Elephas maximus indicus: one gene and its partner. The protein of the gene in region 1 interacts with the protein of each later gene in a biochemical or structural test. Links are inferred from orthologs where the notes say so. Each region holds a gene or a part of one and is shown on either strand. Other genes may lie near its edges.

Region 1 (15,776 bases):
GCTTCCTTTTCGTTTCAAATCAGGATCCATGTAAGGGTCAGACATTGCATTTGATTGTCAGCTCTCTCCAACCTCTTTCCATCTAGAATGTGCAAGTGCACACAGATGCACACGCGTTTTTGTTTGTTTTGGGGACGTTGTGGCGACTTTTTCAGCCCCGTGTACCTGTCCCGTGACAGCATGGTGAGGCACAGGTCAGTGTCACCCCCAGAGTTAGGCAGGCCCTTGGGCCCTGGCCTGATCTCATGGGCAACACAGCTGCTCCAGGGGAGGTGGCATCCCAGGCGAGCTGGAGCACAGCCTGGTCCAGAGAAACTATCTGCATGGGCCTGGGGTGGGGCAGGGTGACAGGTGGGTGAAAGGAGGGATGGTCTAATTCATGGTCAGTGGGAGGGGAAAGCCTTCATTTGTAGTTCTCTGAGTGACTGTTAGGTCCCTGGGTTGTGCAAACGGTTTACATTCGGCTACTAATTTAAGGTTGGCAGTTCAAACCCACCCAGCGGTGCCAAGGAAGAAAGGCCTGGCAATCTGCTTCCACAAATATTACAGCCAAGGAAAGCCTATGGAGCAGTTCTACTCTAACATGGGGGGTCGCCATGAATTGGAAATGACTCCATAGCAACAAGTTTGGATTTTATTTATTAATTTATTCATCCTGAGTGACTGCTGCTCTGTTTCCAGTTCAGAGGAGGCACATGACAAGCGCAGGTCGGGGCTGCCTGGGGAGGGCTGGCTGGCCACCCAGCAGGTCCCCAAGGCGGCAGCCCCCCAGGGAGACTTCACCACTTCTTTGATGCTGGCTTTCCGCCTGGCAGACCCCAAATGCAGTCTGGTCAGTGTTGAGGAGCCTCTGAGAGTCCAACTCAAGCTAACAGAGCTCTTGAAGTCCCTGCCTGCAGCCAGATCCCACTGGCATTAACTCACAAGGAGCAGTTTAGGGGCAGGAGGCTGCCCAGTCCTGGGGTGGTGCTGAAGAGCAAGCAGGCACAGGGAACAGCACTTGAAAAGGCCTTAGGCTGTGATGTGCCCTTGAGTCAACAGAGAATGTCAGGTGAGTTTCAGAAAAAAAGCTGGTCCACGTATGGAAAAGATTTGGAAAGATACCAAAATATTACCAAAAAACCCAAACCCACTGCTTCAAGCCCATTCCAAGTCATAGCGACCCCATACGGTTTTCAAGGGTGTGAATCTCTGCCAGATCTTTCTCCCACGGAGCGGCTGTTAGTTTCCAGTCGCCGAGCAGTGTAACCACTGGGCCACACAAATATTAGCAGAGGTTATCTCTAATGGCAAAGGGTGTGTGAGATGACAGGTTTTCTTTGTTTTTTACATCACACACATGTATACACGTGTAATACTTATTTTTAAATTCTTAGTAAAAAGAACAAAAAGGTGGAGGCGCTGGCGTGGCCCCACCTCAGCCCCTACCAAAGATCAGCACGGCTGGCGCCGGCTCCTGGGCGGGAACACTCAGCTGTCCTAGGGGCCTCGCCCTCTGTGCCAAAACCCTTCCGGCTTAGTCGCAGCGCAAGTAGGGGCTTCCCCTGGGCGGCCGCCGCGGCCCGTGTCCCACCCGGCTCTGGCCTCGGCCGTCCGCCCTGTCGCCCGGCTCAGGTGGGAGGAGAAGAAAGGCCCGGCAGCTGCCCAGGGCTCCCAGGACGAGCGCGTGCTGGAGCTGCGGCGCCAGATTGCAGAGAAGGCGGCCGAGCGCCAGAGACAGGAGGCTGCGCTGCGCGTGTCGGCGCCGCGGGCCGCGCGCCCCAAGCCCCGGGTGAGCCTGGGCGGCGCGGCGGGCGGGCGGAACGGCGAGCAAGGGGCCCACGGGAGATTTCGGGGGCCGGGCAGGGTGCTGGAGGCGGGGTGCCAGGGTGGGGAGGCCAGCCGGGTGCGGCGGGGGGAGCGGTGTCCGGTGCAGGAGTGCAGAGTACCAGGTGGGCAGCGGGGTACGCGAGAGAGGGCGGAAAGTGTGGGGACTCGGGACGGATTACCCAATGTGCAAGGTAGCACGTGTTTACTTGTGTTTACTCATCCGTAGTGCACAATTCCACCGGGTTTATGTGCGGAAATTAGTAACTAAGCACAAGTCGGCCCGTGGGTATCATGCTTACTGTAAGCCGGTGCTCACTGGTTAATCCGCTCCTGCAGCGGTAGGTGGGCCCGGCGGTGTACTGGGGAGGGGAGCGCGGTGGGGACCCGGGAGGGGTGCGTAGGGGAGGAGGGTGGCGTGGGAGCAGACTCGTTGGTATGCCAGCAGGGCGCGGGGTGCGGCGGTGGGTGCGGGATCTCCGGGGGGGTCCAGGCTGTATGCATGGGGGACGTGGTGAGCGTTCGGGGGACCCGGCTGTGTCCGTGGGGGTTCGGGCCGTGATGTGTGGTGGAGACGCGATGTCTGGTCGTGGCGTGGTGTCCGTGGGGGGATTCGGTGTCCGGTGGGGACGCGGTGTCCAACAGGGCGCAGTGTCCCTGGGAGGCGCGGTATGCGGTGGGGGGAGCGGTGTCCGGTGGGGGCACCGTGTTCTTGGGGACCCACGCTGATGCCCACCCTCCGCAGGCGCAGCTGGAGGCGCAGCACTGGCTGGAGCTAGAGCGGAGCCGCGAGCGAAGGATGCGGGCCGTGCAGCGGGAGGGCCCCGCGCGCCGCCTGGAGGCGGCCTGACCCCGGCGCCCTACCGGCCTCCTGCTCTTCCCCAGAATAAAGTGTGCGGCCCTTAGCGTGCCTCCTTTCCCTCCGCCGCAGCGCGCTCCCTCTGCGCTCCTTGTCCGCCCGCCGCCACGCCCCTGCGCGCCCCGCCCTCCCTCCGCCACGCCCCCTGCGCTCACGGTGACCCCGCCGCCAATCTTCCCGCCCGCTCGCTGCCACGCCCCCTAGTTGCCACGCCCACCATGCGCCACGCCCCCCTGCGCTCCGCCAATCTTCCTGCCCGCTCGCCGCCACGCCCCCTGCGCGCCCCGCCCTCCCGCCGCCACGCCCCCTGCGCTCCCGGTCCCTCCCCGCCAATTTTCCTGCCGGCCCGCTGCCACGCCCCCAGTTGCCCCGCCCTCCCGTCGCCACGCCCCCTCGCCCCGCCGTCACGCCGACACGCCCCTGCGTCCCCCCGCACCCCCGCCGCCACACCCCGCCTGTGACCCCGCCCCGCCCGGGCCTGCACGTGCCCAGTGAAGGGTTGCAGGTCGAGTACTGCGCAGGCCGTGCCACTGTTGCTTGGTACATATCAAGCTAGATTAGTTTCGGGTTTTTATCTGGAATTTAACTGGGCGTCCTATACTTTTATATGTTAAGTCTGCCATCCTTGCCCAGATCCTGGCCCTTCCCTGGGTCCCAGCCCAAAGTTGCCCCATTCCACCGCCCCCGCCCCCGGCAGCCCCCACCACGGCCCCCACCTCCTAACAGCCCCCTCAGCATACACAAACCTGGAATCTCCAGCACCGGCTTGGAATTGCCATCCCTGTCCAGTGCCAGGTGGCTTTACCTGGGGACCCCCCCCAAGACTGGAAGTGGCCAGCCTTCACATGCCTCGTCTCCTGTAGCCCTCACAGTGACCCTGGGGATTAGCAACTGTCCCCCATCCTGCTGAGGCCACGGTTCTCAGAGAGGTAAGGTGACCAGTCCAGAATCAGGACACAAAGTTAAGCTTTGGCGACTTGAGCACCCCACCCCCAGCTGTCCCAGCATCAGCAAGGGGCCAGCATCCAACAAGGTTAAGGGTGCTGGATCACAAGCTCCCCAGGACTGGGACCAGGACAGATTCACTCTCCCGGACCCCCAGCCCCAGCACCTAGGCGTGGCCTTGAGGACAAGCCTTTGAAGTGCATTCACAAGGAGGAAATGCTGCCTCAAGAATGAAGCACAGTGTGTGGTGGGACCCCTGGAAGGAGAAAGCAGGATGGGCCCGTGGTGGGGAGGGGGCGGGGGAGAAGGGGAAGAAAGGAAGGAAGGGCTGGAAACTCCCAGAGAGGATAGACATCCCGGAGAGACTCCCCCACCCCATATCCTCCATAAGCCTTTAGGTGATGGCACGTCAGAGGGGGTAGCTGTGGTGTACCCAAAGGGTGGCCCCTAGGGCACATTCAGACCAGGAAGGTGGGCGTTTCAGCAGTGACAAGAGGAGACGAAAGACCAGAGGCATCTCCTAATTAATATTCTGAGCTGTGTCAGAACGCCAGGATTTCCCCACAACCCAGGCTAGTAAGGAGAGGAATTTCCCACCTTTCTGCTGAATCGGGGCTGGGAGCAGACGAAATTTCACTGAAATAAATAAACATGACATCTCTTACATCCTGTGTTGTGCAATAAAATTCAAATCAATTTCATTCAATATTGAGGAAATACATTGAAGATTACCATCCAGAGAGACTCCCTCAGGGCTCTGAGTGAACTCAGGCCTGTTCAAATGGGCTTCAGTCGCAAGTGACACACCTCTCTCTGGCTTTCAATTCAGTAGTTCATGGAACTAGCAGTTCCTGCAGAGGAAGAAAAGTCTGCGTGGGTGTCTGAGCAAATACCCTGGCAAGTGGGGGGAATTACCCTTCATCTATCAAGCTGGACTCTGGAGCAGAGGGGGTAGGTGGTGGCCAAGCAAAATCGGGGTGCTGTTGGCAATAATAATGAAGGGGGTGGTGGTTCAGTGTAGAATTCTCACCTTCCATGTGGAGGCCTGGTGTGATTCCCGGCTGGCCAATGTGCCTCATCCAGAGCCAGCACTTGTCTGTCAGCAGAGGCTTGTGTGTTGCTGTGATGTTGAACAGGTTTCAATGGAGCTTCAAGACTAAGACAGACTATGAAGAAAGGCCTGAAGATCTATTTCTGAAAATCAGCCAGTGAAAGCCCTGTGGTCCACAACCAGTCAGGGAGAAAGTGCAGGACCGAGCAGCGTTTCATTTTGTTGTGCGTGGGCTAGCCGTGAGTTGGGACTGACTCGATGGCAGCTACCGAGCAGCGTTTCATTTTGTTGTGCGTGGGCTAGCCGTGAGTTGGGACTGACTCGATGGCAGCCGCCAACAATATTGGCAATGACGCTGGCTGGCAGGTAACAAGGTCCCTGACTACGTACCACACTCCTGAACCTGGACAGCTGCTCAGAGCTGGCTTGCCAGCACCTGGGGACTCTTCCAGGTACTCTGCTCCTACAAACCTGAGTTAGAGCAGGCCTTGGGCCATTCTCTAGAGGATGTGGCCTGAAGGCAGCCCTTATGTGGTAAACGTCAAAAATGTCTCCTTGTACCCATGCCTTTGCCATATGACTTGACACCTCCTCCCACCAACACGTGAAGTCTGATTCTCCCAGCCCTTGAATCTGACTTGCTTTGGCCAACAGGGTACAGCAGAAGTGGCTGTGTGCCATTTCTCAGCTTGGGCCCCAAGTGGCCTTGGAACTTCCACTTGCTCTCTGGGAACCCACCCTGCTACCATGTGAGCAGGCCCAGAGTGGTTTGCTGAGGAGAGGGACCATGTGGAGGAGTTGTCCCAGGGGAGCCCTTCCTAGACCACCCTACAACCAGCTGACCTCCAACATGTGAGCCCAGCCAGGAACCAAAACCATCCAGCTGACTTGTAGACTCATGAGCAACAATAAATATCTATTATTTGAAGCACTGAGCTTTGGGGTGATTTTGTTCGAAAGCAATAGCTAACTGATATACCCTCAAGGGGTCCACAGTCTAGACGCCTGCCTCCCCACTTCCTGTATGAGCCCTTAGAAAGGGGATCAGCCAGGGGGGCATAAGGTCTAGCTGGTGCTGAGAAAGCTCTCTCTGAACCTTTATTTGCTGGACTGCCTAGAGAATTGACATTCTGCTTAAGTGAATTTTCTGGGTAAGTGCAAGTTAGCCAGAAGACCCCTGCTGACAATGTCTGAACTCAGATAGGCAGGGGTTCTTATCTTGGAGTTAAAAAAGCAGACTCTCACGCTCCGTCCACAGAGATTCAAGCTCTAGGGTGAAGCCCAAGTATCTGCTTCGAACCAGCTTCTATGAGAGGGACTGTGGGCATCCCAAGGGGCTAGTCTTTCCTCTAAGCTGGGGACATTTAGCAGGAGGAGGGAGCCAGGGATACTCACACTGTAGGTTCAGTGTCAAGGGAGGTTTGGGAGGCCACGGAGGCAGCTTCTGGGCATGAGAGTAACATTTGTAATGACTGTTTTTCAACATCACATTTTCAATATATTAAAATTATAAAGAGAAAATCCTAGCTTTTTCTTAAGCTTTGAAATTCAAATTACGAATCTTATTCTATTTATAAGTCTGATTGTTTTTAACTATCATTTTGATTAATCACTGACGGGCCCATTTATAAACTGAAATTCCCTTAAGCATTTTAAACTGCATTTATAAATGTAAAATCTGATTTTAACATTCCAGTTGTTTGACTTCCCAAGTGTTTAAATAATTTTAATAGATGTATTATATGTATATATCTCTCTTAAATTTACAAGTTCTCTTAAACATTCCAATTACGATCACAAACATTGGAAAAAGCTTTTATTTTTTCAACCTAAAATCACTATCAGATACTCAACCACATAATCTACATTGGATCACATTTATGTCAGACATTCCAACATGCCAAGTTCCCTTACTACCTCATAAAGTATCAACACACAGATTGTTGACGGGTAACTCAAAAATACTAATGCTCTGTTTTTCATAAGGGGCCCTGGTGGCTAACCAAAAGGTTGGCGGTTCAAACCCAGCAGCCTCTCCGAGGGAGAATGATGTGGCAGTCTGTTTCCATAAAGATTACAGCCTAGGGAGCCCTATGGGGCAGTTCTACTCTGTCCTATAGGATCACTGAGTCAGAATCAACTTGTCGGCAATGGGTAAGCGGTTCCAGATCTGCTTTGTCGTTGCCACGCATAGCTCAACCTTCCAGGATTAAAGACCTTCCCCCCAAGGAAGGAGTCCATCCCAGGGCATTTGGGGTGACCTTCTCACTGCCAGAGGGCGCCTAGGGACCAGAGATGATAGCCATGGCCTGAGTATTCTCAGGACAAGAGGACAAGCTGGGCTCTCTTTTCTGGTTGCCATGCCACGTTCAAGTCCAAACCTGGTGCCTAGACTCAAGCCCACCACCCGATTTACTAGTCCAATTCTGGTCTGCAGCCCTTACCAGCCAGGGGGCTAGCATGCACGTGTGCAATGCTGCATTGAATCTGCCCCACATTACCCCTCTGAGGTGGATATTGTCCCCCTATAACAGGTGAGGGCATTGTTGAGACTTGCTTAAAGGATGGAGCTGGGATTCCAATTCAGGCAGGAGGGGTTCAGTTTGCGACCTTTTGAACCCTAGAGTTGCCCAAGATATCCCAGAGGCCACTGAGCTCCAGGCTTCTGCCACCAGGCTGGCCTCGGCCATGGCCCCTCTCCCAGGGGACAGCTCAGGCAGAGGTGTTCCTGCACAGGTTCAGGTCCTCCTTTCCCCATGATTTAGGAGATAATATTAGAGCCATTATTCCATCCTAGAATGTGACCCAGCTGGAGCTGGAGTCACAAGGACCCTGAGGTATAAAAACAATAGCTAGGACAATCTTGGAAAACACCTTTCAGGGAAATTTTCACATAAACAAATCATAAATGGAGCATAAAAGACCCACATAGTTTCCACTCTTATCTTGTTCTATTAGCATTTAGTGAATAGTAAGATTTGTCAGAATAGTAAAGACCCTCCAGACTGTTGTTACTGAAACCTGTACCAATGATTATTAAGAAAGACTATTCAAAACATATGATCACATTTTCTAGCCAGCCTGTGAAAAGGTGAAACTTTCAACAGTTTTGCCCATTTGTAACGTTAATGTATACTGATGGTTCTGAAACATTCCTTGGACTCTGACAGACTTGGCTCTAGCAGCCATTCTTTCCTATTCTGTACTATATCGTTGGACTCGGGCAGATACGGCTCTAGCAGCATGCTTGTCCATTTTCCCATTCTTGCTTATTCTGTAATATTTCTTTGGACTCAGGCAGACATTACCTCTGGCAGCATCCTTGTCCGATTCCTACTTTTGCGTCTTTGAATATATGCCGGATAAAACCTTTCTTTTTGTTTTACTGCACTTTGTCATGTTTCTACCCAGAGCACCTACACCCGCGGGCCTAGCGATAGTCCACTGTTAACCTGGCCCCTGGCCCTGTCAGACCTGACTCTGCCTCCCCCCCCCAGCTGCTCCCCATCTCTGGGCGTCGGGCGCTGCGAAGCCTTCCGTCCCTGCATTTGCCAGTCAACCTCTCCTCCTTCCCTCCCTCACTCCAGCTTCAGGGACACAGGGCTCCCTCTTCTGGAACCCTCTCCTTCCAGCCCATCAGCTCTCAGCTCCAGAGTCACCTTCTCCCGGGACCCCTTCCAAGACCCCTGCAGCGGGCTGCAGGTCCAGGCCCCGCTTCTGGTGGAAGGTCAGGCTCCGAGCCGCGCCAGCCTGGGGGCCCGGTTCCCAGGCGAGGAAGCTGGGGCCCAGAGAGGGGCGGGGGCGGAGCCGGGATTCCGGCGGCGGAACGGCCGGGCCTGGGCTAACGTCCAGCCGCGTCCGGCCAGGAGCACGGGGCTGGTGTCTAGGGCTGTCACCCAGGCGGGCACTCGGAGCCCTCCAGGCTCCGGAGACCTCGAGTCGGGTCGGCACCGCCGGGAGCCGCGGTTTCAGCGCTCCGCCTGGCCGCAGACCACAACTCCCGAGAGGCCTTGCGGCGGGCCGGGGTCGAGAGGGCGGCTCTGCCCGGAAGGCGGGAGCTGGAGCACGCGAGCGTGGGCGGGGCCGGAAGGAGGCGCGTTTCAAAGTGGTAATAGATGGCTCTTTTATCCAATAGCATTGAAAATATCCCCACTGACCCGACGGGCCGAGGGCTAGGGGCGGTGACTGCCAATAGGGACGCGAGGGGGGCGGTGCCACGGCCTCTAGAGCGGAAGTGGACCGCTGGTAGGCGGCGGCGTCTGGCTGGAGGAGTGCTCCGCGGACGCTGTGGAAGGGTTTCTCCGTCTGGTCGCGCTGCCGGCGGAGGGCCGGACTAAACCCGCTCCAGGTAAGGCCCTGCGGCGTGGGGAGGGAGCGGCAAGTCAGCGTCCGGGAGGATTCGGGGCTCGCCGCCTCGCGGCTTGATGAGGCCTCAGCGCCCGCGGCTCAGAGTAGCCTCGGCGCGGCGCTGACCGGCTCAGGGCCCCGACGCCGGGCCTTTCCCCGCGATCTCGGGCCCACGTGGACGCCCGCTCTGCCGGCCGCACGGACGGACCGAGCCCGGCGCGTCAGCGGAAGTGGGGAGGCCTGGGTCTGCGTCTGGGCGCCCCCGGCGGGCGGCGCCGCGGGGCTTAGTCTCTAACTTGGGGGGGAAACTGAGGGCTCCGGACGCGTCCAAGGTCACTCGGGGAGTGTGGGCAGGACAGGCCAGGGCTCGGGGCTGTGCGGCCGCTTGGGGAGGCCTCGCGCGGGGTTTTTGTTCCCCACCGACGGCGCCTCCTTTGTGCGCTCGCGCCACCGCGGGTCTGGGCTCGTGGGCCCCGTGGGAAAGCCTTGTCTGGGCATGAACGGGGCGGAAGACGTGTGGGCGGCCGCTCGGGGAGCGCTGGGGGCCTGGCCCTGGGAGCGCCCCGCTCGAGCCCCGGCACCCAGTGGGCCCTCGGCACCGGGAGCGCCTGCCGACCCCGCTGGTGGCTGCGGCCAGGCCTGCCTGCCCCCCGCCCCTGCAGCGCTCTGCGCCCCTGCACACAGGTGTCGGCAGACTGACCCCAGACACCGTGCTCGGTAGACAGCTCTCCTCCTCCGCCTGTGGGTCCTTTGAAGAGGAAAGGAAGAGTCGGAGCCGTTTTTGCGGATATCGGGTTTTGTCTCACCCTCCAGCTGCCCCTCGACGTTGGCGATCACACCTCCTGCTTCTGCCCCCAGTTGTGGGATCTAGTCCAGCGGTCTCGGCTCTGCAGGCTTGCCTTGCGCCTAGGCTGCCGGGGCGATCCGGGAGACTGAGGCCCACAAAGGTCAGGCGGTCCGCCCAAGGGTGCACAGCCAGGTTCCTGACTGCAGAACTAAGCTTCTGAGGTGAACGACCAGGAGTGCTGGGGCCGCCAGCGATCAAAGGGTATCGAAGGGAGAATCATTTCTTCTCGTGGTTTGGTTTGGAAGAGGAGGGGAGACTTGTTTGGCTCACTTTTATCTGAGTTTGAGGTAAAAATGGGAACGTTCAAATGGAAATATATTGCTGGCTTTCGTATTGCCTGAATTTGAGCGTCCAACTCTGATGCAAAAATCTTTAATATAATGTTTTCTAGACCTTTTTCATTTGTTATTATCGTCAGCTCTCTAAGGGACCTTTGTAGATGTATTTTTTTCTCTAATTATTTTCCCCTATGAATTTTTTTTTTTAACTAACGTGTTCTAGGTGAAAGTTTACGCAATGAATTACCCCTTCGTCGAATCGACTTGATGGCAACGGGTTTGATTATTTTTTGTTTTTTAATGGTTACAGTTTTTACTGTCAGCATTCTCATTACTGGTGTTCAGTTTGTTCTGTTTCCACTGATCCAGCTTCACTCCCCCTTCTTGCCTTCTCATCTTTGATTTTGGGTAGATGTTGACCGTTCGGTCTCACGTAGTTGTTTAAGGGAGTACAGTCCTCATGAGTGATATTGTTTATTTTACAAGCTGATCTATTATTTGTCTGAAAGGTGAATTGCAGAAATAGCTTCAGTGACAAGTTCTAACGGTATCTTAGAGCAGTAGTCTGGGGGGATTTCTCTGGTCTCTATCAGTCCAGTAGGTCTGGCCTTTTTTTTTTTTTTTCAGGAATTTGTGCTTTCTACGTTTTTATCCCATTCAATCCACGACCTTCTGTTGTGTTCCTGGTCAGAACAGTCGGTATTGGTAGTCAGGCACCATCTAGTTCTAGTTCTGGTCTCACGTTAGAAGAGGTGCTGGTTTGCATGGGCTTTTAGTCCAGTGGAGTAGTTTCATCTTTGAGACTTTGATTTTCTTCATTTTCTTTTGCTCTATATAGGTAGAGACCAATAGTTATATTTTAGATGTTAAGCTTTTAAGATCTCAGATGCTACTCACCAAACTAGGATGTGGATCATGATCTTTGTGAATTACGTTATGTCAGTTGATTGTGTTCTGAGACTGTGGTCCCAAGTCTTTTAACTCAGTAAACCAATCCTGCAAGTTGTTTGGATATGTCTAGAAAGCCTCTGAAAACTGCCCCTGTGTGGTTTGTTATATATGCAGATACGTATATGCGTCAACCACAAACGTGCGTAAATGTACGTGTATGTGTCTACAGATACATCTGTGTGCGCGTGTGCATTTGCTCTCATGTTTTTCTGTATGTATATATTTGTCCGTATCTACCTGCTTTAGTATCCTAAGTTAGCACATTTTTGAGGTCTTCTGAGGTCTGTTCTTGGAAATGGTTCTGAGAGACATGCAGCAAGAGATAGGACTGGAAAAATAAACAGGGACCAGATGACCAGCGGTGTTTGGTGTGTCTCCACTTTGAGGAGTTTGGAATTTATTGTAAGGCCAGTGGAAAACCACTGAACTAAGTTTTAAGCACAAGGAAGTGACACAGTTAGAATCACATTTTAGAAAAAGCACTATGCTGTGAGAAGGATGGATTAGAAAGGTGGGTAGGACTAGTGGCCTAGGGATAGTTAGCGCCAGGATAGTGACTGTGGGAATGGAGTGAAATGGGTGTGTTTGAATCTGTGGAACTTGGTGCCTGTGCTTGTCAGCTGGCCAGTCATTCCAGTTCATCACTGGCTCTTAAAGGCTGTGAGCAGAGCCCACGTCCAGTAGTTCATACCCCCATTGGTTTCTGGAAAAGAGTTGAGGGTGCTGCTCAGTAAGTAATTGGCTTATACGCAGTATAAAAGTGAATTTGTAGATTCATTACGTGTGTTGGCAGTGTCCGTCTTTATTGAAATGGTTTACCTACAGTTAACTGTCCTTAAATCAGTAATCTCTGAAGGGTAGGGTGGCTCTTGTAGAATACTACAGGGTTGACTGTTTTTACCGTTGAGATATAATTCACGTCTAAGTATTGTGTTTCTCAGCTGTACTCGGAATTGTAGAGGAAGGCATTTTGAGGTTTCCTGTCTGAAGAGGAAGGCCTGGAGCACAGATATTGCCTAACCCTGAGGTCAGGGTTCAGGTTTGAGAAAACATGAGGTTTGAGCAGAGGGATCTCGAATGGCCTTTGGAAGTACGTAAGTCAGAACTGGCAGGATGGAGGGTAGGAAGGACTTGGGAACTTTTCAAAATGGCTGCTATCATTAGGTTGCTTTGCAAATGGAAGTGTGACCATAAAGCTTTCCTGGAGTCTTCTTTTTAAGCCACATGTTTTTTGGTGTACCCGTTAGGCTATGTTAACTTCTACCTCCAGGTAGCTAAGTAAATTGGCTGGCTGTATAGATTTATTTGATATGCAAATTCAAAATTGAAGCCTGTCTGCTAAATGTTATCTCTTTAGCTTGGAATTGCAATAACAATTTTTCTGCTGTTAAGAATATAAATCCTGTGTCCCTGTGGGTTTCTCTTGGTTTGTGATGTAGTGATACCTACTGTTTAGCGAGTGCCTGCTTATCTGTTAACGAGTCACCCTGCCACGTAGGCGTGGTTATTCCGTTTTGCATGTCCTGAGGCACAGGAAGGTCGGGGTCACTTGCCCACGGTCACACAGTTTGCCCGTTGGAATCTCGGCCCCTGTCTGGCTCCAGTGACCACGCCTCTCCCGGGCCTTGTCGTGCCATCCGCCTTTTTCTGTGGTGGGAAAGCAAACGGCCAGTTTCTCTAGCAGCTCCAAATAGGAAAAAAAAAAAAAACACTTAAAAGCAGGGAATATTATCCGTATTTTATGTTTCTTTTTTAAGTAACGTTTACCCATGGGGAGTTCTGGTCATAAATACGCTCAGGTAACTTCCCATTTTGTGACTGTTTTGTAGTCTTGAAGAATCCAGCTATGTTCCTGAGTGAGCACCCTCCAGCCCTCACCAAGGAAGGTGCTCTGCGGCTGCACCTTACCTTTTACCTAGCCTAACTGTTGCCAGTCTCTGCTGCTCGCTCTGGCCTACTGAAAGGTGCTTCCTTTCTAAGCACCGTCTGCATGTTAGTTAGTTCTGGCCTCCTACTCCCTCCTAGGTGAAAACGCCTCGGGTAAAAATGTTCTCTCTGAAATCTCCCTTTGGCTATCTTTTGACTTGCAGTGTTAAGGCTCCATTTTTCCTTTCTCTCAAAAACACTGCCGTATCTTCCAAGAAAATGAAGCAGTCATCTAATGAGTTAATTTAATTTCAGTAGAAAAACATTTGTGTTTATTCAACATGCATGTTTGTGCTAAATAGTGTGAGGGGACACTTTTTTAAAAACATGTTGTTGTTAGGTGCCATCAAGTCAGTTTTGGCCCATAGCAGTCTTATGTACAACAGAATGAAGTGTTACCCAGTCCTGTACCATCCTTATAATAGTGGGTGTTTTTGAGGCCATTATTGCAGACACTGTGTCAGTCCATCTCATTGAGGGTCTTCCTCTCTTGACCCTTGACTTTACCAATTTTTCTCCAGAGACTGGTCCCTCTCGATAACGTGTCCTTTTTCTGGGACTGGTCCGTCCTGATAACATGTTCTTCTCCAGTCTCTGATATTCTTCTCCAAGGACTGGGCCTTCCTGATAACATGTCCAAAGTAAGTGAGACATAGTCTTGGCAGCCTCATTTCTAAGGAACATTCTGGCTGTACTTCTTCCAGGATGGATTTGTTCATTCCTCCAGCAGTTTATGGTGTGTACACCGTAGTAAGTATTCAGTTTTAGAATTATGTTTATCATTGAGTCCCTGGACGATGCAGATGGCTAATACTCAGACAATAGCCAAAGGTTGAGGTTGGAGTCCATCCAGAGGCACCTGGAAGAAAAGCCTGGCAATTGATTTTTTGTAAAAATCAGCTGTTGAAAACCCTTTGGAGCCCAGTTCTGACACACATGGGGTTTCGTGGGTTGGAGTGACTTGATGGCAACTGGTGGTTATCATGTTAAGAGGGACTGCAGTAGAAGAAATGATGAAATCAGATCCTGGGGTCCTGAGGAAAATGGAAGTAACCTTTGAGGTAGGTCTGGAAGGGTGAGCAGGAGTTGCCCAAAATACCAAACTGTGAGAGTGTGAAAGAGCCCACAGTGGGTGACTGGCGGCCAGGATGCCTGGAGCACAGTGCACGCAGCTTGCCTTTGCTGCTTTTTTGGAAACATGAATTTGTTCCAAATGGGATTGGCACATTGGGGAACAATATGAACATCATGGGGGTTTTGCCTTGGCTTGTGTACAGTTTTGTTGTGGAAAACAGTAAGTGAACACAGAAAACTGAACCAAGCCACCCAGACATACACTTTAGACATCTGCCAGCTCACTGGTAGACTTCTGGTATGAGCCACGCCCAACACAGGTCTGATGTTTACAATCTTCTGCTTCTTTTCCATGCTTTACAATAACTCAAAAGCTGCAGCCCTTCTAAGGCCCACTTCCACTTCCCCAGGCAAACTTCAGGCCTTTTTCAGGTGAAGTGCCATCCTTATTGTGGTGTGTATGTAGTTCTTAACCACTTAGTACGTGTAGGACAGTACTGCCATTTTCATTAGGTTCTTCTCTTTTGTGTGTGTGTCATGGACAAAGTTTTCAAGTGTTGTGCCCGTAATCCATTTTCCCCATAAGCCTTGTGAGTTTTTGCATAGCGCGGTGGTTTTTAAGAATGCACGTGTCACGTTATAACATGACTAACTGCAGCTGAGGCCAGAAAGTTGAGAGGGAAGCCTGGCTCTGTTATAAGGGACTCAACTGAAGGGGTGTACACCAGATTCTGTAGCCACTGGATGTAATCACTCAGGAGCGTTTGCGAAATTCTTGGGTCTTTTGGAGCCTGATGATTTTTTGAGCTACCTTGTGAAGCCTTTGGACTCCATCACACAGACTCATGTTTTCCCTTCTGTTCTTGTGCCTTTCTTTTGTCCATTCCTAGTGTAGTAGGTGCTTGCTGTTCTTCGTGGCTGTGTTTGTCCTGGGGGGCAAGGACCACTGACTTTGGTTTTCTCTTTTATTTCATTGCCTACGTAGACTGTTGAAGAGGGCCTGGAGTAGGGCTGCTCCAGCTCACAGGCCCAGTAGTCAGGTGCCACTGCCAAGATGAATTTCCCTGAGAGAATTGGTTTTGGCTAGCTCCCTGGTGACAGCATGCATCTGTTCACTAGCCAGCCACAGTGCACTGCCTAAGGGAGGAAGGAAATGCTGTGTGAGGGGCCCTGGGAGCCGTGCTATTTGAGCTCACCATACCCCTGCTGCTGGTATGCGAATGAGGGACTAACCACTGTGAGGCACTGCCTGGCTGCTCTCTGCTGTTAGAAGTCAATTCTGACCAATACCAACCCTATAGGACAGAGTAGAACTGCCACATAGTGTTTCCAAGGCTGTAATCTTTAAGGAAGCAGATCGTGACATCTTTCACTCATGGAGCGCCTGGTGAGTTTGAACCTCCAACCTCTCAGTTAGCAGCTGAGCACTTAACCATGGCGCCACCAGTCCTCCCTCATGTTAAAGAAGAAGCCCTCTAAATCGCAAAGACCTAAAGTAATAAGAGAATCCCTTCTAGAAATGGCAGTAGGCTGTTGATATAGGTCAAGTGAACCTGTAACCTTCCGGCTTTTTTTTCCCTAGGGCTTGCACCTTAGGCTATTTTTAGTGGCTGATATGGACAATTTAGTGTTTCTAGGTTGACTCCCCACACCCTTCTACCCCCACCCCATTCAAGATGTGGTCTAGATTAA
Region 2 (16,548 bases), on another chromosome or scaffold:
ATTTTTATCGCTGTAAAACTAAGGTTCAGAGAGGCTTGAAGGACAGCTTTGGGTTACAGAACTAACAAGAAGCTGAGTTAGGATTCCAACCTAATATGTTGTTAGTTGCTGCTGTCCAGTCAATTCTGACTCATCGTGACCCCATGTATGCAGAGCAGAACTGGGTTTTTAAGACTGTGGCCTTTTGGAAGCAGATCACTAAGCCTATCCTCTGACGTGTCAGTCTTTTCAGTTAGTAGTCAAGCGCTTAACTGTTTGTGCCACCCAGGGACTCCTAGGATTCCAACCTAGGTCTTATGACTCAAAGGTGAGTGCGTTTTCTGATGCATGACAAGTGGAGATCAGGGGGAAAAAAGGCACAAACAAGGGTGGGAAAACTAGGCAGCAGGTAAGGTCGTAGGTTGAGAAAGAGAAATGTCTGGCAAGGATAAAATCAGTAGGGCTGCCATCCCTCCTAAGGAACAGAGGAAAGATGAATATGTGTTTTAAAAGTGAAGGCCTGTGAGCAGGTGAAAAGAGGGACGATGAATTGTAATTACACAATTACAGAATTTTTTGACAAAGAGGATAATTTTCTGGAAAGTTTTCAAGAAATCATCAACTCTCTGTTTTATAGATGAGGAAATCCAGACCTAGGGAGATGAGTGACCAGCCTTCCATCTCATAACCATTAATAGCCATATTAATGGTATGGCTGTGTTAAAATATTGCAATGCCTCTCTTTCCTTTTTTAAACTGCTTTTTTTTTTTTTTCGTAATGTATAATCTACATTCCATAAAATTCACCCACAGTAAGTGTTGTCGATAGCTGCTGTGGAGTTGGCCCTGGACTCATGGTAACTCCACTCACAATGGGATTGGACCGTCGTGATCCCTAGGGTTTTCATTAGCAGATTTTTTGGAAGTAGATCATCAGGCCTTTCTTCTCAGTCTGTCCTAGTCTGGAGGTTTAGCTGAAACCTGTTCAGCACCATAGCAATGTGTACGCTGGTAGTGACAGATAGGAGGTGGCTGCTAATGAGGTGCATTGGTCAGGAACCGAACCTCAGTCTCCCACATGGAAGGTGAGAATTCTACCACCAAATCACCAGTCTCCCCCATTTTAAGTGTATGGTTCCAGAACTTTTAGTTAATTCATAGAGTTGGGCAAGCATCACCACAATCTAGCTTTGGAACATTTCCTTTACCCCCCAAAAGAAAACATTGCAATACTTCTATCCCGTGATCCCACTGCCATTGAGTCAATTTTGACTCATAGCAACCCTAGAGGACAGAGTAGAACTGCCCCATAGGTTTCCAAGGAGCCCCTGGTAGATTTGAATTGCCAACCTTTTGGTTAGCAGTGTAGCTTTAACCACTACGCCACCAGGGTCAGTTAGTAAATAGCCGCTGCCCTCAAACTCCCTGAAGAACCCTACTTCCATGGCTCCTAGACCTTCCCCATAATCTAGCAAAAGATACCTGACCCACTCTCAGGGAGCCACCGGCCCCTGCCCCAGAAGTGAGCATCCTCTGTTCTGAATGGTTGGTACCTGTATCACACCTGTTGTTAAGTATGTTTAGTACCACCTTTGGGCAAGGCCAAGGCAAATACCCACCTCTTCTGGTTCCCAATCCAATTTTCACACAGCAGCCTGCTTCTCTGGAAGACCAGAAAACAAACAAGCAAACAAAAAGAAAGTGAGTGCTATGAAATTATTTTGTCTACGTAAAAGACAAATTTTGGTAGGGCAAGAGATTGAGCTGGCATCCATCATCAGTTCTTCGGTAAAGATGTTCTTTTCTTGAGGTTCACAAACCTCTATGGATAGATGACTTCAGAAGGCCAGATAACTCCCTAAAATATAAAATTTCATGAGTATGTGCATTTTGCTGGGTAGTGGGTCCACGGCTTTCATTTGATTTTTAAAGGGGCCCACGGCAAAAAAAAAAAAAAAAAATTACAGCCTTTCCAATTAATAATATGCTAAGAACATGGTTAAGTGCTTTGCTGCTAATTCAAAGGTTGGCAGTTCAAACCCGCTAACCACTCCATGGGAGAAAAGACCTGGCCATCTGCTCCCTTAAAGATTACAGCCTAGGAAACCCTATGGGGCAGTTGTACTCTGTCCTATAGGGTTGAAATTGATTCGCCAGTACCTAAAAACAACATGTTTTGTAAGAGGTCTACGCGAGAAATAAGCAAGTAATGTGCTCAAAGGCTGCAGATCTGGGTAAAAGAATTCTTCCTAGAGAGCCAGGGGAACGGGTGAAAGTGAAGACAAAGTTCTTCTCATTCACTACTTTATTGCAAATTAGGTATGTATGTAAATCAACTATTTTTAACATATAGAATAAGTCACACCTACAAACCATTTGTTATTTTCTTTGGCCTTTATTAAGAGGTTCACATGAAATGACTGGTGCTGGTACAAAATTATTTTTAAAAAATACACTTATGCTTTGTACATATGCTTTTCTTAAAGTACAGTATTACTCTAAGTTGTGAATTTTGTGTTTTTGCTACTTTATGAAATCCCATCTATAGGCTCAACTGGATTACTTTAACATCTAAATTTGTCAAACTACATACCCCTCCAAGTAAACAAACAAACAAACAAAAACCAAACCTGTTGTGTCAACTCCAATTTACAGCGACCCTATTAGACAGAGTAGAACTGCCCACAGGCTTTCCACGGAGCACCTGGTGGATTTGAACTGCTGACCTTTTGGTTAGCAGCTGAACTCTTAACCACTACACCACCAGGGTTCCCCCCTTTGAATAGTTCTACATAATTTACATTGAAGCCAAGTTCCTTATTGTATTTACAAAAACAATTTTTTAAAAAACTCAAAATCCTACATTATCCCCATTGCATTTTATCTTAGACTTTTAGCATGGTATTTTAGAAATATTTTTGAATTTTTAAAAATGTTTTATTGTTTTAGGTGAAAGTTTACATAGCAAATTAGTTTCCCATTTAACATTTTTCACAAATCGTTCTGACATTTTGTGTGACATTTCTGTGATAATTTTCACAATGTGTCAGCTTTCTCATTATTTCCATTCTGTTTGTTCTGTTTCCAGTAATCTAGCTTCCCTTCCCCTCTTTGCTTTTGGGTAATTGTTGTCTGGTCTTATATCGGTGATTATTTAAGGGACACATTTCTCCAGGGTAATATTATTTTATAAGCCAATGTATTATTTGGCTCAAATGGGCCTACAGGACTGGTTTCAGTGACAAGCTCAAAGTGTGCCTTAAGGCAATAGCCCTGGGGGTTCCTCAAGTCTCTACCAGTCCAATAGGCCTGGCCATTTTTTACGAATTTGAGTTTTGTTCTATGTTTTTCTCCCATTCTATCTGGGACCATCTATTGTGTCCTTAGTCAGAACGTTTAGTAACGGTAGCCACGCACAATCTAGATCTTCTGGTCTCAGGTTAGATGAGGCCATGGTTTGTGTGGGAAATAATTTTGATTTTTTTTTTTTCTGGTAAAAATCTTTTATTTATTTATTGTTGCTGTTGAGGATATACACAGCAAAAACATACATCAGTTCAAGTTTCTATATGTACAATTCAGTAACATTGATTATATTCTTCAAGTTGCGCAACCATTCTCACCCTCCTTCTCTAAGTTGTTCCTCCCCCATTTACACTCACTGCCCCCTAAGTTTCCTATCTAATCTTTCAAGTTGCTGCTGTCAATTTGATCTCATACAGATAGATCTTAAAATAGCACAATGCTTAAGGCAGACATTTTTACTAGCTAAGCTAAATTATTGTTTGGTTTTAAGAAGAATTCAGGGGATATTTTTGGTTTATGGTTTACAGGTTATCTCAGGGCAACATTTTCAGGGGTTCGTCCACCCTCCATGGCTCCAGAGAGTCTAGAGTTGATGAGAATATGAAATTCTGTTCTGCATTTACCCCCTTTTGGTCAGGATCCTTCTACAGAATGTTTGATCAAAATGTTCAGTAATGGTAACCAGCACCATCCAGTTCTTCTGATCTCACAGCAAAAGAAGCAGTTGTTCATGGAGGCTATTAGCCACATACCCCATTTCTTCCTCCCACTCCTGACTCTTGTCCTTACTCTGTTGCTCCAGGTGAATAGAGACTAATTGTTGTGACTTGGATGGTGGCTTGCAAACTTTTACGACCCTAGGCACTACGCAAGGAACTAGAAGGTAGAGTTGAAGCATTAGGCACATTATTAGGTCAATTAACTGGGATGTCCCATGAAACCATGACCTTAAACCTCCAAACCAAGGAACCAAATCCCAGGAGGTATTTGGTCATACACAAGCAGCCTCAGCAGCTACTCATAATTTTTGTTGTTGTTGTAAATATACAAACTTTGATTATTTTTAATAGGTGAATGGAATTTGAAATCTGGAAAAAAACCTTAAAGATTATGCAGTCTGACTTGCTGATTTTATTGATAAGGAAATAAACCCACAGAGATTAAGAGCCTTGCCCAAGCTTGCTAATGACAAAGCTTGGACAAGAACATAAGCCTTGGATTTCTAGTTTGGTGCCTGTTCCAACAAATATGCTGTGTGCTGTTGAACTGCCTTCATTTCTCTGGTGAGGTCAACCATGAAGAGACTAAGAACCAACTACTCTGTGGAGACACAAGCTCAAGCAAGGACTTGTCAACTTTGCCTTTTCATGCTCCAACAAGCATATCCTCACTGGACTGCTCCTGACTGTGCAGCCTAGTGAATCATAGGAATTCAAGCATTCATAAACTACATTACATCATCAGTACTGCAGCATTTACCTAGTGGTCCCTTTGTAGGTCCTTTAATGTTACCAGACTATTTGGTTTCCCATATTTCCTCCTCTTTGGTGCCACGGAGTCTAGCTGCTAATGTATTCCTCTGTGTCTCATGCTCTGCCTTTACCCAGGAGGGAAGACCGCAGACACGTACACAACCTGTATATGTCCTAATTTTTTTCTTCTAGGGAGGCAGAGGTGAGGGCAGTGTGGCAGATGGGGGATGTCTTAGTTCTAGTGCAGCTATAACAGAAATACCACAAGTGGACAGCTTTAACAAAGAAAATTTTATTCTCTCACAGTTTAGGAGGCTAGAAGTCCACATTCAGGGTGCCAGCTTCAGGGGAAGTCTTTCTTTTCTGTCAGCTCTGAGGGAAGGTCCTTGTTATCAATCTTTCCCTCATCTAGGAACTTCTCAGCACAGGGACCAGATCCAAAGGACATGTTCTGCTCCTGGCTCTGCTTTCCTGGTGGTAGGAGGTCCCTGTCTTTCTGCTCCTGTCTCTCTTTCATATCTCAAAAGAGGCTGACTCAAGATAGAACCTAATCTTGTAGATTAAGTCCTGATTCATTAACAAAACTGCCTCTAATCCTCCCTCATTAACATCGTAATGGTAGGATTTACAACACACAGGAAAATCATATCAATTGACAAAATGGTAGACAATCACACAATACTGGGAATCATGGCCTAGGCAAATTGACAGACATTTTTGGGGGGCAAGATTCAATCTATAACAGGGGAAAATCACCTCCTTGTCACCTGATGGTCATTTCAAATTGCTGTGGAAATAAAAAATAAACACCATTATCAAATGTAACAAAAATAAAAATTCTTTAATATCATCTAATATCTATTCTGTGTTTATATTTTGCCAGTTCCCAAAAATGTCTTTTTACAGTTGGTTTGTTAGAATCGGGATTCAAACAAAATTGACATATTGTGTTTGCTTAATATGTCTTTTAAATATCTTTTACCATAAATGATGCTATTTAGGAGATTGAGAGCGTGGGAAACTTCAACTTCTCTACTGCCGAACTGTTTTCCAAAGTAATTGTACCAATTTCACTCTGAGTTTATAAAAGCTTCACTCCCTCTCCTACTTTTGGTATCATCAGGCATTTAAACTTTTGCCTATCAGACATTTAAACTTTTGTAAGCCCCACTCTGTAAGGAAATGGAATGTGAACATAGTCTTCAAGAAATATATAATATAAAATAATACAGAAATTTCACACTGTAGTGCAGTGAGTTACTATTATATGCCCTTTTTAGCTGTTGTTCTTGTAACTCCCACAAAATGATTAGGTGAGATTATGCAAATAAGGTGCTTGTGGCCCACCAAGGGGATTGGACAGTTTTGAAACCTTTGTGGGGGTGGGACCATGCATATAGGGTGCATGGAACCCTTGTAGGAAATAGCTGGTTTTGCCATCCCACTAGGTTTAAAGGGAGCCAATCCCAGAGGCTGAGAGGGGGACCTCACTACCATCAAGAAAAGGAGCCAGGAGCAGAGTGCATTCTTCTGACCTAGGGTCCCTACACTGAGAACCTCCTAGGGCCAGGAGACAGAGAGAGTTCTAACACTGAAGACTGCACGAGAGAGACCAGTACCACAGGACTGGCAGGCTAGGCTTGCTGATGCACAGAGAAAAGAGAGGTAAGTGCCTTTAGGCAGGTGGTTGCCGGGGGAGTGGGTGCCTGTGGGCACTTGTTGGCAGAGCTAAAGACCTTTGTTATACTTGCCCGTCCAAGTATAACAGGACAAGAAGGCCAAGAACTGAAGGGTGAGAGAGAAGCCTGCCTGTGAGCATGGCTGAGAAGAAGCTGTCCTGATTAATTGTCTTGTTAAGTCGTTCCTTTTACTACCAAGTTGATCCTGGCCCTGAATTGTAAACTGTTATTCCCTGATAAATTCTATAATTGTGAATACGGTTTGTGAGTTCTATGTGGCCACTGCAATGAATTATCAAACCCAGTAGCAAAGTAGAGAGTGGCGTGGGAGGGATGGGATGGCTAGTGTCAGAACTGGTAAAAAGGTTGGAGAGTGGGAGTATGTGGGAATCAGCCTTGGGCTGATGTTGACAGTGATTTTCTGTCTCCCCCTGAAGTTAGTGAGGTCTGACGCTGTACCATTTCTGGACATGTTCCCTGGAGATAATTATATATCCCCATCCCATCTGAAAGTCACTGTTTTAGCTGCTCTATGCACTGGGATCTTTTTATTATACATTAGTGAAAGAGTAAAGACGATATGTAATTATGTGCTAGTTAGTATTTCCTAGGAGTCCCTGGGTGGCATTTACGGTTAAGCACTCGACTACTAAACAAAAGGTTGGTGGTTCAAAACCATCCAGAGGTGCCTCAGAAGAAAGGCCTACCCATCTACTTCCACAAGATTACAGCCATTGACAACCCTGTGGTTCTACTCTGACCCACACTGAGCTGCCACGAGTCAGAACTGATTCAACAGCAACCACTTTAAGAGGGATATAACTGGCACTGACTTTTCCCCTCATATGAATATCCTTCTAACACATCTGAAACTCAAGGTGCCAGATGTTGTTTCTGCTGAGAAGTGTCAGGATTCCTATAACCTCTTTTCTTCCTTGTTAATACTTGTTAGCTCTTATGATGTCATAATGCTTTGTTTGTAGGGTCATCTGATGTTATATATCTTTAGGAAGGAAGAGTTTTTAAACAAAGTGAACCGCATATAGTAAAACCTGATTTCTGGAGCAATTTTATGAAATAATAGGGAAGAAGATCTCTAAAAGGAAATATACTTGGAAACTTTTCCTATCAGCTTTCTTCTTTCATTGGGATATGTGTGATTTAACAACCTGACATGTGATGTGCTTCTGGATGTTTCCTGGTTGCCAGGAGCATCCAAACATTTCTAAGGACACATCATTTTGTACAATAAAGGGAAAACCAGCTCACTTCTGGCAATAAATGGAATTGGGTGCGGAAGTGTGTTTAATATTATACCATACAATAATTGGTGTATTTTTAAAAAATTTTTTATTGTGCTTTAAGTGAAAGTTTACAAATCAAGTCAGTCTCTCTCACAAAAACTTATATACACCTTGCTACATACTCCCATTGCTCTCCCCTTACTGAGACAGCCCGCTCCCTCACTCCACTTTCTCTTCATGACCATTTCGCCAGCTTCTAACCCCCTCTACCCTCTCATCTCCCCTCCAGGCAGGAGATGCCAACATAGTCTCAAGTGTCCACCTGATCCGAGAAGCTCACTCTTCACCAGCATTCCTCTCCAACCCGTTGTCCAGTTTAATCCCTGTCTGAAGAGTTGGCTTTGGGAACGGTTCCTGTCCTGGGCCAACAGAAGGTCTGGGGGCCATGGCCACTGGGGTCCTTCTAGTCTCAGTCAGACCATTAAGTCTGGTCTTTTGACAAGAATTTGATGTCTGCATCCTACTGCTCTCCTGCTCCCTCAGGGGTTCTCTGTTGTGTTCCCTGTCAGGGCAGTCATCGGTGGTAGGTGGGCACCATCTAGTTAATAATTGGTGTATTTTAAAGATCTTTTTCCTTTATGAACACATTTCACATTAGGGAAGTTCCCAGGAAACATAATGATCCATCTTAAGAGTGGGAAGGATGACATTCTACACTGCTTTTATATTTAAATCTTAACTTACTGAAATTTCTAAAAAGAAAGCCAAGTCAATTAAATGACAGGTTTTAAGCTTTCATTCTGGTAAAGTCAAAGTCTTCTACTCAATATATCAGCCAGCTCAGTTTTTTAGAGCAAGAACACGAGGTGCAAGGGCTTCCATTTTCCTCTTTAAAAAACCGTGATATTTTCAGTTCTGGAACAGCTCTCCAAAACGCTGCTTCTGGTAAATGTTGGCAGAATTGGTGCATTGCTTAAGTTAATTCTGTATGCTCAACCTTCCTTACCCAGTATCTCTAGGTTGGATGACCATAAAGCTGCCTACCCACAAAATAGACTGGAGAGAAGGCTGGACTTTATAGAATGTATTAAGTACTTATTATAACGAGATACCGGCACATTAAAAAAAAAAAATCATGCCTAGGGCTAAATCTCTGAGCAAACTTAGATTTCCGTAACAACCTTAACTATTTATTATACACATGAACTGAGGTTATGGGGTAAGGAAGTGGATATCACACACACTAGAAAAACTTCAAAAAAGTCTCTCTTTTTTTAGACAAGTTTCAGTTTTGCAAATCCAAAAAACTCTTAACTGTAAAACACCAAAACGTTGTCTGCTCTCAGTTCTCATCCCATTGTAGAAAGAAACCTGTGTCTCTCAAATTAGGAATACAAGAAGTCTTTCTGGTCGGCGAAGACCAGAAAGCAGCCCCGTGGTAAATTCTATCTGGCCCAAGGGTATTCGAAAGGAAAACCTCGAAACCGTACACCTGCGGCTGGAAAAATAAACCAAACAAAAAGTAACCCAAAGATAAGCACATCACCAGGATTTCGTAATATAAACCGACTACGTTGGCACGGTCGGTACCGGAACCACGCTTCCGGAGCTTCTCAAGCACTCAAGGCAAGGCGTGGGCTCGCCGCGGACGCACTAAAACGAGTTGTAATCACCGGTACCTACAGCGCTATTCACCGCACCCCGCCCCTCCCCCAGCGCGCCAGCCAATCCCCTTGCGCTCTCTCCTTCCCATCGGAGGCCCCTCCCCCGCGCCCTGGATGCTGAGCCCCCGCGGCGTGACGCGAGCACGGCAGCTCCGCCCCCTGCGTCTCTGGCCTCGCCGGCCTAGGGGGGATGGTTCCATCATGGCGTCAATGCAGGTGAGAGGAGTTTGCTGCAGCTGGGAGGGCGAGGGAACCGCCGCGAGGGTGCGATCATTCGGGCGGGAGCGCCGCCCGGGGCTCGGAGGTATTCGGGCGGCGTCGGGAGCAGTCCTAGCGGTCGGTCTTTGGCTAGTTTCAGGGCGTTGGGGAGGGGTGAGAGGCGGCCAGGGCAAGGACGGGTGGGGGGGTCTCGGTCGGTCGAAGCGGACACCAGCCGGCCGGGAAGTTGGGGGATAAAGAGGGGTTAGAGGAGGAAAGGTCGAAGTTTGGCCTTGGCTCCGCCACAGTGCTTTCGGAATCGCCTTCCCGCACACACAAACGGCCAGAGTCGGTCGCCGGCCAGCCCCAGGGATGCCTTTCTCTCCGCGGTCCCCGGCCGGCGGAAACAGCTGCTCTCGCCGTTGTCGCCGGGGCAGCAGCGGCGCTGAAGGGGCTGGGTGTGGAGAAACTGGAAAGACATTCCCTGAGAAGGCGGCTGGCTGCAGAAGGCGCTTCGCAGCCTCTGCTCAGGCCTCCCACGCCTGGCTTCTCTTGACTGCTCGGCACCTCCGCTGTCCTCCCTTTGACTCCTAATGCCCCTTGGGTACCTTCTCCTAGGAGTCACGGCACTCTCACAGACATTACCCGAGCCGCCCACTTTCTCACCCCAGCTCGAAGCTGCCCTTAGTCTATTAACAGCATTTGCCGCCTAATTTGCAATCTGCGGGAACCACTAGCCCCTTATGCCTCCCGGGATAGTTCACCCTCTAAGAAAATTTTTCCTCTGGTGCCCCACCCTTGCGGTCTCGGTAAGGCTGTCGCCCTTTACCCTTATTCTCCAGACCATTAGTAGAACCTTAGTTTATTAGGAGGAGTGCGTAACCTGTGTCCTAGCTACCTGACTTGTCAGTGCGTGGTTTTCTGGCTTTCCAACGCAGTTTAGAGAGGAGTTTGGTTTTTCAGGCAAAGATGGCAACCACAGTTGTGGTTTGTAGAGATTGACTCTGCATTATCTAATCTGTAGCTTGCGTTTAATTCACAGATGAAGACTAGCGTATCAAAACGTAGCAAGAGAAGGTAGAACTTATTAGGAATGTCAACTGAACGCTTTTTAGAGTTTTAAAAAAGCATCCCCTTAAGTGAAGAAAGAGACCGCATTTTTTCTTAGAAGGATTTTTTGTTTTTGTATCTAGAAGAAAAAGCAAGTACCCCCTCATTTTTCCCCCCTCTTCTGTGCGAGTGCAGTGTTTTTCTTACATCTCTTCTGCATCTTCTCTCTCTTGTGCACATCAGTTCTTTGTTCCACACTTTTGTGCTTTTGTCTTACCCCTTTCAATCTGTTTTTCATATGATAGTCTTGTTACCTTTGCTTTTCCCTATGGACTCTTGCAGAACAGAAAAAAATTGTATATAACATTTCTGGTTGAAAAGATGTGACGAAACAGTGGAGGGAGAAAACAAGAACAATTTCAGGAAACATTGTACTTTACACCAGTCTCCCTGAGAGACGTTAGAGAAGTTTCCTCATTTGAGGCCAAAAAAGGAACTGTTAAATTTAACAGTAGATGGGCTACGTGACCAATTTAAGGTTATTAGTGTATTAAGATTAAAACATTTGTTTTAAAACTAAAAATTAAAATCCACAACACTTGCATGATTGTATTTGACAAGTGAGCATAGCGTTACAGGGATGGTAACTGACAGTTAGCTTTTCAGTTATCTGGAAAAGGGATGTTTCAGTTGTTAAGAGAAAAAACCCAAGCTGGTAAAGAACTTAATAATCTTGAATTTTACATGGCTTCTTAAGCAGTAAGAAGCCCTGTTGGTGCAGTGGTTAAGCATTTGGCTACTAACTGAAAGGTCAGTGGTTCAAATCTACCAGCCTCTCCACAGGAGAAAGATGTGGCTGTCTGCTTCCAGAAAGATTACAGCCTTGGAAACCCTATGGGACAGTTCTACCCTATCCTATAGGGTCACTATGAGTCAGAATTGACTCAGAGCAATGGGTTTGATTTGGGGTTTTTTGTTTTGTTTTTGTTTTTTTTGTACTTTAACAATGGACAAAAATACTTGCCAGTGCAATATTGCATTTTTCTATGTCACAAGTACTACCTCAGTCTGTCTTACCACTTTTCTTTTCCTTTGTGTCTTGGTGATTAGAGGAATGGAAAATTCATACATCCTTTTTTAAGTAAAATACAACTAAATCTTTCCCTTTTGTTTGTATTTTTAAAATATACGGATTTTCTGGTAGAATCTTAAAAAATACTTTAATGTGGATAGGTCACACTTTTTGAGACAATACTGTCTGCGTGTGGGGTGAACAAAGTTTTTTTTCCCTGATAGTCTTAATAGCAAAGTTTAACTCTTTCTAAAACAACTGAACTATACATAAAGCAATAACCAAATTATTAAATTTGTTCATTCATGGAACAATTGTTTTTTGAGGACCCAGTATGTATCACCAGCAGTCATCTAGATGCTGAGGATCCAGCAGTGAACAAAAGCAGACAAGGTCTCTGCCCTTGTAGATATAAGTCTAGTTGGGGGAGACAGACATTAAGAAAATATTTAAGTTAATCGTGTATTAAATTAGAAGGTAAAAAGTGCTGTGGAGAAAAATATAGAGTGGATGGAGGTTTGGAAGTAGATATTTTAGATAGGGTAATGAGGAAAAAGTATGCTGCTCTGACCATGTCCTCATCTAAAAAAGCTTTAAGTAGGTTATTTAACCCACACTAGGATGTTACTGCTGCTTAAGAAGTTATTCAAGCTGTAAGGGGAACTGTATTTTAAAAACAAGTATATTATATGAATGTAACGTGTGATTTGATTACTTGAATTGATAAAGACGAAAAAATGAGTCTTCAGGAGCAATGCACTAAAAATTAGGGATAGACTTCGCATTTCGCATTGGAGACAGTTTTAAAGGAGAGGTTGTGACTGCTTTAATGTATTCTACCAGTGCCTTCCAACTTTTCTTCAGGTCATGGCACACATAGAAAATAAGTTTTGATGAATGAGATTGGAGCCTGGAATCCCCCGGCCAGGCTCTATGCTGTCGAGTCGATTGCAGTTCGTAGAGACTGTATTGGACAGAGTAGAATTGCCCCATACTGTATCCAAAGTTTTAAATATTTACGGGAGCAGACCGCCACATCTTTCTCTCATGGAAAGATTGGTAGCTTTGAACCGCTGACCGTTTTGGGTAATGGCAGAACGCTTTAATCACTGTGCCACCAGTGCTTCTAGGATCCAGGGAAATCAATATTCTGGCACAACCTGTTATGTTGGGAAGTTCTGCTCTATATTATATTGTTAGGGTTGTAAGTACAGTTCAAGGTTGTGGTTTTCAAACGTATGTGAGCCTTTTGAGACTTTCCACTATTTTTTTCTTTTCTCTCCCCACTCCTTTATTCCTGTGAACAAAGTCACAAATCACCAAGTAAGATTATGGTTAGATTATGTTTTAAGAAATTATTCTTAAACACTCATGGTGATACTTAAAGTTGGCAGGATTTACACTAAAGAAATAGCTCTATATTTAATTTTAGTAATTCTAGAAATCTTAAAATGTTAAATGGAAAATTGTAGCATATTTTTAGTATTAGCATTTCAGGTACTCTGATTATATGGTACAGCTTTCCTATCCTCAAACTGTAAAAACATTAAAGTAAATTTTTATATGATTCTAAACAGTTCTCAAAATTGTAGCGTTTGGAGTATGTATTTTCAGCTAAACTATAAAATTGTATTTTTTTGTTATGTTTATATAAAAAACCAAACCCGTAGCCATCAAGTCGATTTTGACTCATAGCGACCGTATAGGACAGAGTAGAACTGCCCCATAGAGTTTCCAAGGAGCGCCTGGTGGATTCAAACTGCCAACCATTTGGTTCGCAGCCGTAGCACTTAAGTACTATGCCACCATACGTTTGCATAGATAATATTTAATTTTTTCTTTTTCCTGTGACTCGTTTCATATTGTGGAATACTTAATTTGGCCTCCTGGATGTATTTTCTGTTTCTAGAATTTAGTTGTTTCATTCAGACTTATATTACAAGTTTTTAGGTATACCCAGTATACTTTTCTAATTTAACCATCTAGATTAATTTTAAATATGGACTGTTGTCTTTAGACTCCTCTTCCATTGTTGCTTAGTTGTGATTGAGTTGATCCCTTACATAATGTCTTAAAATTTTAGAAAGTACATAATAGCTAGAAATAGCCAATTGAGTCACTTTTTTATGAATTTTCTACATTTTCTTTCTTTTAACCTAGCTGGATCTTAGGCTATTGACTGCTAATCTGGCTAGATGGAAGGAGATTAGGAACCAGAGAGGGAATATCAGTGTTGGCTCATTTCTTATTTTCAAACGACTTGAAAATAGTTATTTTGAATTATTTGCAATTTGCATTGCTCTTTACTCAAGTAATTGGCTGTAGTGATTAACAGGTAGAATATGTGCTCTTACTAATTCTACTGTTATGGTAGTCATGTTGCCTTGACGATTAGATACCATATGCCTATTTGTTGATATCATTGTGAAGGATTACAGCATAATGAAAAGTTAGAAAATTGACGCCATCTTGGATCTCAAGGCTTACTGACAATGGGGACTTGCACAGTATGGCCAGAATTAAAATATTTGAGAAGGTTGTTTTGATACTGTGGCTAGGAATAGGGCTATCTGGGAACTTTTGGAGCAGGGATCAAGGATAAGGATAATAGCATAGAATAGAATTCAGGATATTCTGTGTAAGTGATAAACATAAGTAGATGGTAGACCACATGTGAATAAAAGCATAAATCTTTGGTAGTCCTCTTAACTTTCAAAACAATCATTGTCCATACTTTTTGCTGTTAATCAAATACTGCTCTATGAGATCCCTTCCATTTTTGTCTTAAGGTGATTGCTTAGGATTTTATTTAAGTTTTCAGGTCTCTTTCTCTCCCCTGGACCATAGACTCCATGAAAGTAGGAAAAATCCTTTCCTTGTGTTACTTAAATGTGTACATAGTGACTACAGAAAACACTTGTCCATCACTTGACACTTGAGAAAACATTCATAAATAGCAAATTATGCATTATTTTATTTTAGAGAAATCTATTAAGTAATTTTATAGTACTAAGCAAATGATCCCCCCACGTTTCTGTCAGACATTGCTGATGTCAGATGGATCCTGGCTGAAAACAGAGAATACCAGAAGGGTGTTTACCTGTGTTTTATTGACTATGCAGAGGCATTCAACTGTCTGGATCATAACAAATTATGGGTAACATTGCGAAGAATGGGAATTCCAGAACACTTAATTGTGCTCCGAAACCATGGTGGCATAGTGGTTAAGTGCTACGGCTGCTAACCAAAGGGCTGTTTGAATCCGCGAGGCGCTCCTTGGAAGCTCTGTGGGGCAGTTCTACTCTGTCCTATAGGGTCACTATGAGTTGGAATCGACTCGACGGCACCGGGTTGGGTTTGTTTTTTTTTTTAGTTGTGCTCATGAGGAACCTTTACATAGATCAAGAGGCGGTTGTTCGGACAGAACAAGGGGATAGTGATTGGTTTAAAAACAGGAAAGTTGCGCATCAGGGTTTTGTTCTTTCACCATACCTATTCAGTCTGTATGCTGAGCAAATAATACGAGAAGCTGGACTATATGAAGAAGAACAGGGCGTCAGGATTGGAGGAAGACTCATTAACAACCTGCGTTATGCAGGTGACACAACGTTGATTGCTGAAAGTGAAGAGGACTTGAAGCATTTACGAATGAAGATCAAAGACCACAACCTTCAGTATGGATTGCACCTCAGCGTAAAGAAAACAAAAGACCTCACAACTGGACCAACGAGCAACATCATGATAAACAGAGAAAAGACTGAAGTTGCCAAGGATTTCATTTTACTTGGATCTACAATCAACAGCCATGGAAGCAGCAGTCAGGAAATCAAAAGACGCATTGCATTGGGTAAATCTGCTGCAAAGGACCTCTTTAAAGTGTTGAAGAGCGAAGATATCACCTTGAAGACTAAGGTGTGCCTGACCCAAGCCGTGGTATTTTCAATTGCATCATATGCATGTGAAAGCTGAACAATGAATAAGGAAGACCGAAGAAGAATTGACAGCTTTGAATTGTGGTGTTGGTGAAGAATATTGAGTATACTGTGGACTCCAAAAGAATGAACAAATCTGTTTTGGAAGAAGTACAACCAGAATGCTCCTTAGAAGCAAGGACGGCAAGGCTACGTCTTACATACTTTGGACATGTTCTCAGGAGGGATCAGTCCCTGGAGAAGGACATCATGCTTGGCAGAGTACAGGGTCAGTGGAAAAGAGGAAGACCCTTAACGAGGTGGATTGACACAGTGGCTGCAACAATGAGCTCAAGCATAACAACGACTGTAAAGATGCCTCAGGACTGGGCAGTGTTTCGTTCTGTTGTGCATAGGGTCGCTATGAGTCAGAACCGACTCGACAGCACCTAACAACAACAGCAAGCAAATGATTACCTATAATGGAACAATTTAAAATTAACATTTCTATTACATGTATGTCCCCCAAAAGTTGACTTATTTTCTCGATTTATGTGTTTGCTGTAACTAATGTTTTCCAAAGTATTTTTATATTCTTTCTTTCTGGATTCTTATTCCGGACTTGTAAATGGAAAGTCAAATGACATATCATTCTAATGGAAAAAGACACAGAGTGACTTACCTAAAATTATATAGTGACTGAGTAGTGAAGCTAAGATTAGAAACTAGGCTCTGAAAACTACGGATGCTGTGGGGTTATAGGTAATGAACACATTAACAATTTTGACATTGTGAACAAATCACTGGGATAGTTATTTAACTTTTCAGTCAAGAATTGAGCATTTACTGAAGTATTCTGTAGCTAAGAAAATCAGAAAAATATTTCTTACGGTTTATAATAGAAAGTTACTTTGGATCATTTTTTTAAAAATAATTTTTATTGTGCTTTAAGCGAAAGTTTACAAATCAAGTC

What was found.
Region 2: the proteins of RNF4 (region 1) and UBE2W form a complex in vitro, tested with the Homo sapiens proteins (2 studies listed by BioGRID). The link is inferred for Elephas maximus indicus from reciprocal best matches to the Homo sapiens genes RNF4 and UBE2W.

Annotation. Positions count from the first base shown.
Region 1 is NC_064823.1:161,332,367-161,348,142, forward strand, and holds the start of RNF4 (E3 ubiquitin-protein ligase RNF4), read left to right. Parts: upstream 1-8,899; 5' UTR 8,900-9,009; intron 9,010-15,776. Other genes in the region: CFAP99 (cilia- and flagella-associated protein 99), read left to right, coding at 1,615-1,771, 2,552-2,656. UniProt on the Homo sapiens protein: E3 ubiquitin-protein ligase which binds polysumoylated chains covalently attached to proteins and mediates 'Lys-6'-, 'Lys-11'-, 'Lys-48'- and 'Lys-63'-linked polyubiquitination of those substrates and their subsequent targeting to the proteasome for degradation.
Region 2 is NC_064833.1:68,159,603-68,176,150, forward strand, and holds the start of UBE2W (ubiquitin-conjugating enzyme E2 W), read left to right. Parts: upstream 1-9,437; 5' UTR 9,438-9,458; coding exon 9,459-9,560; intron 9,561-16,548. UniProt on the Homo sapiens protein: Accepts ubiquitin from the E1 complex and catalyzes its covalent attachment to other proteins.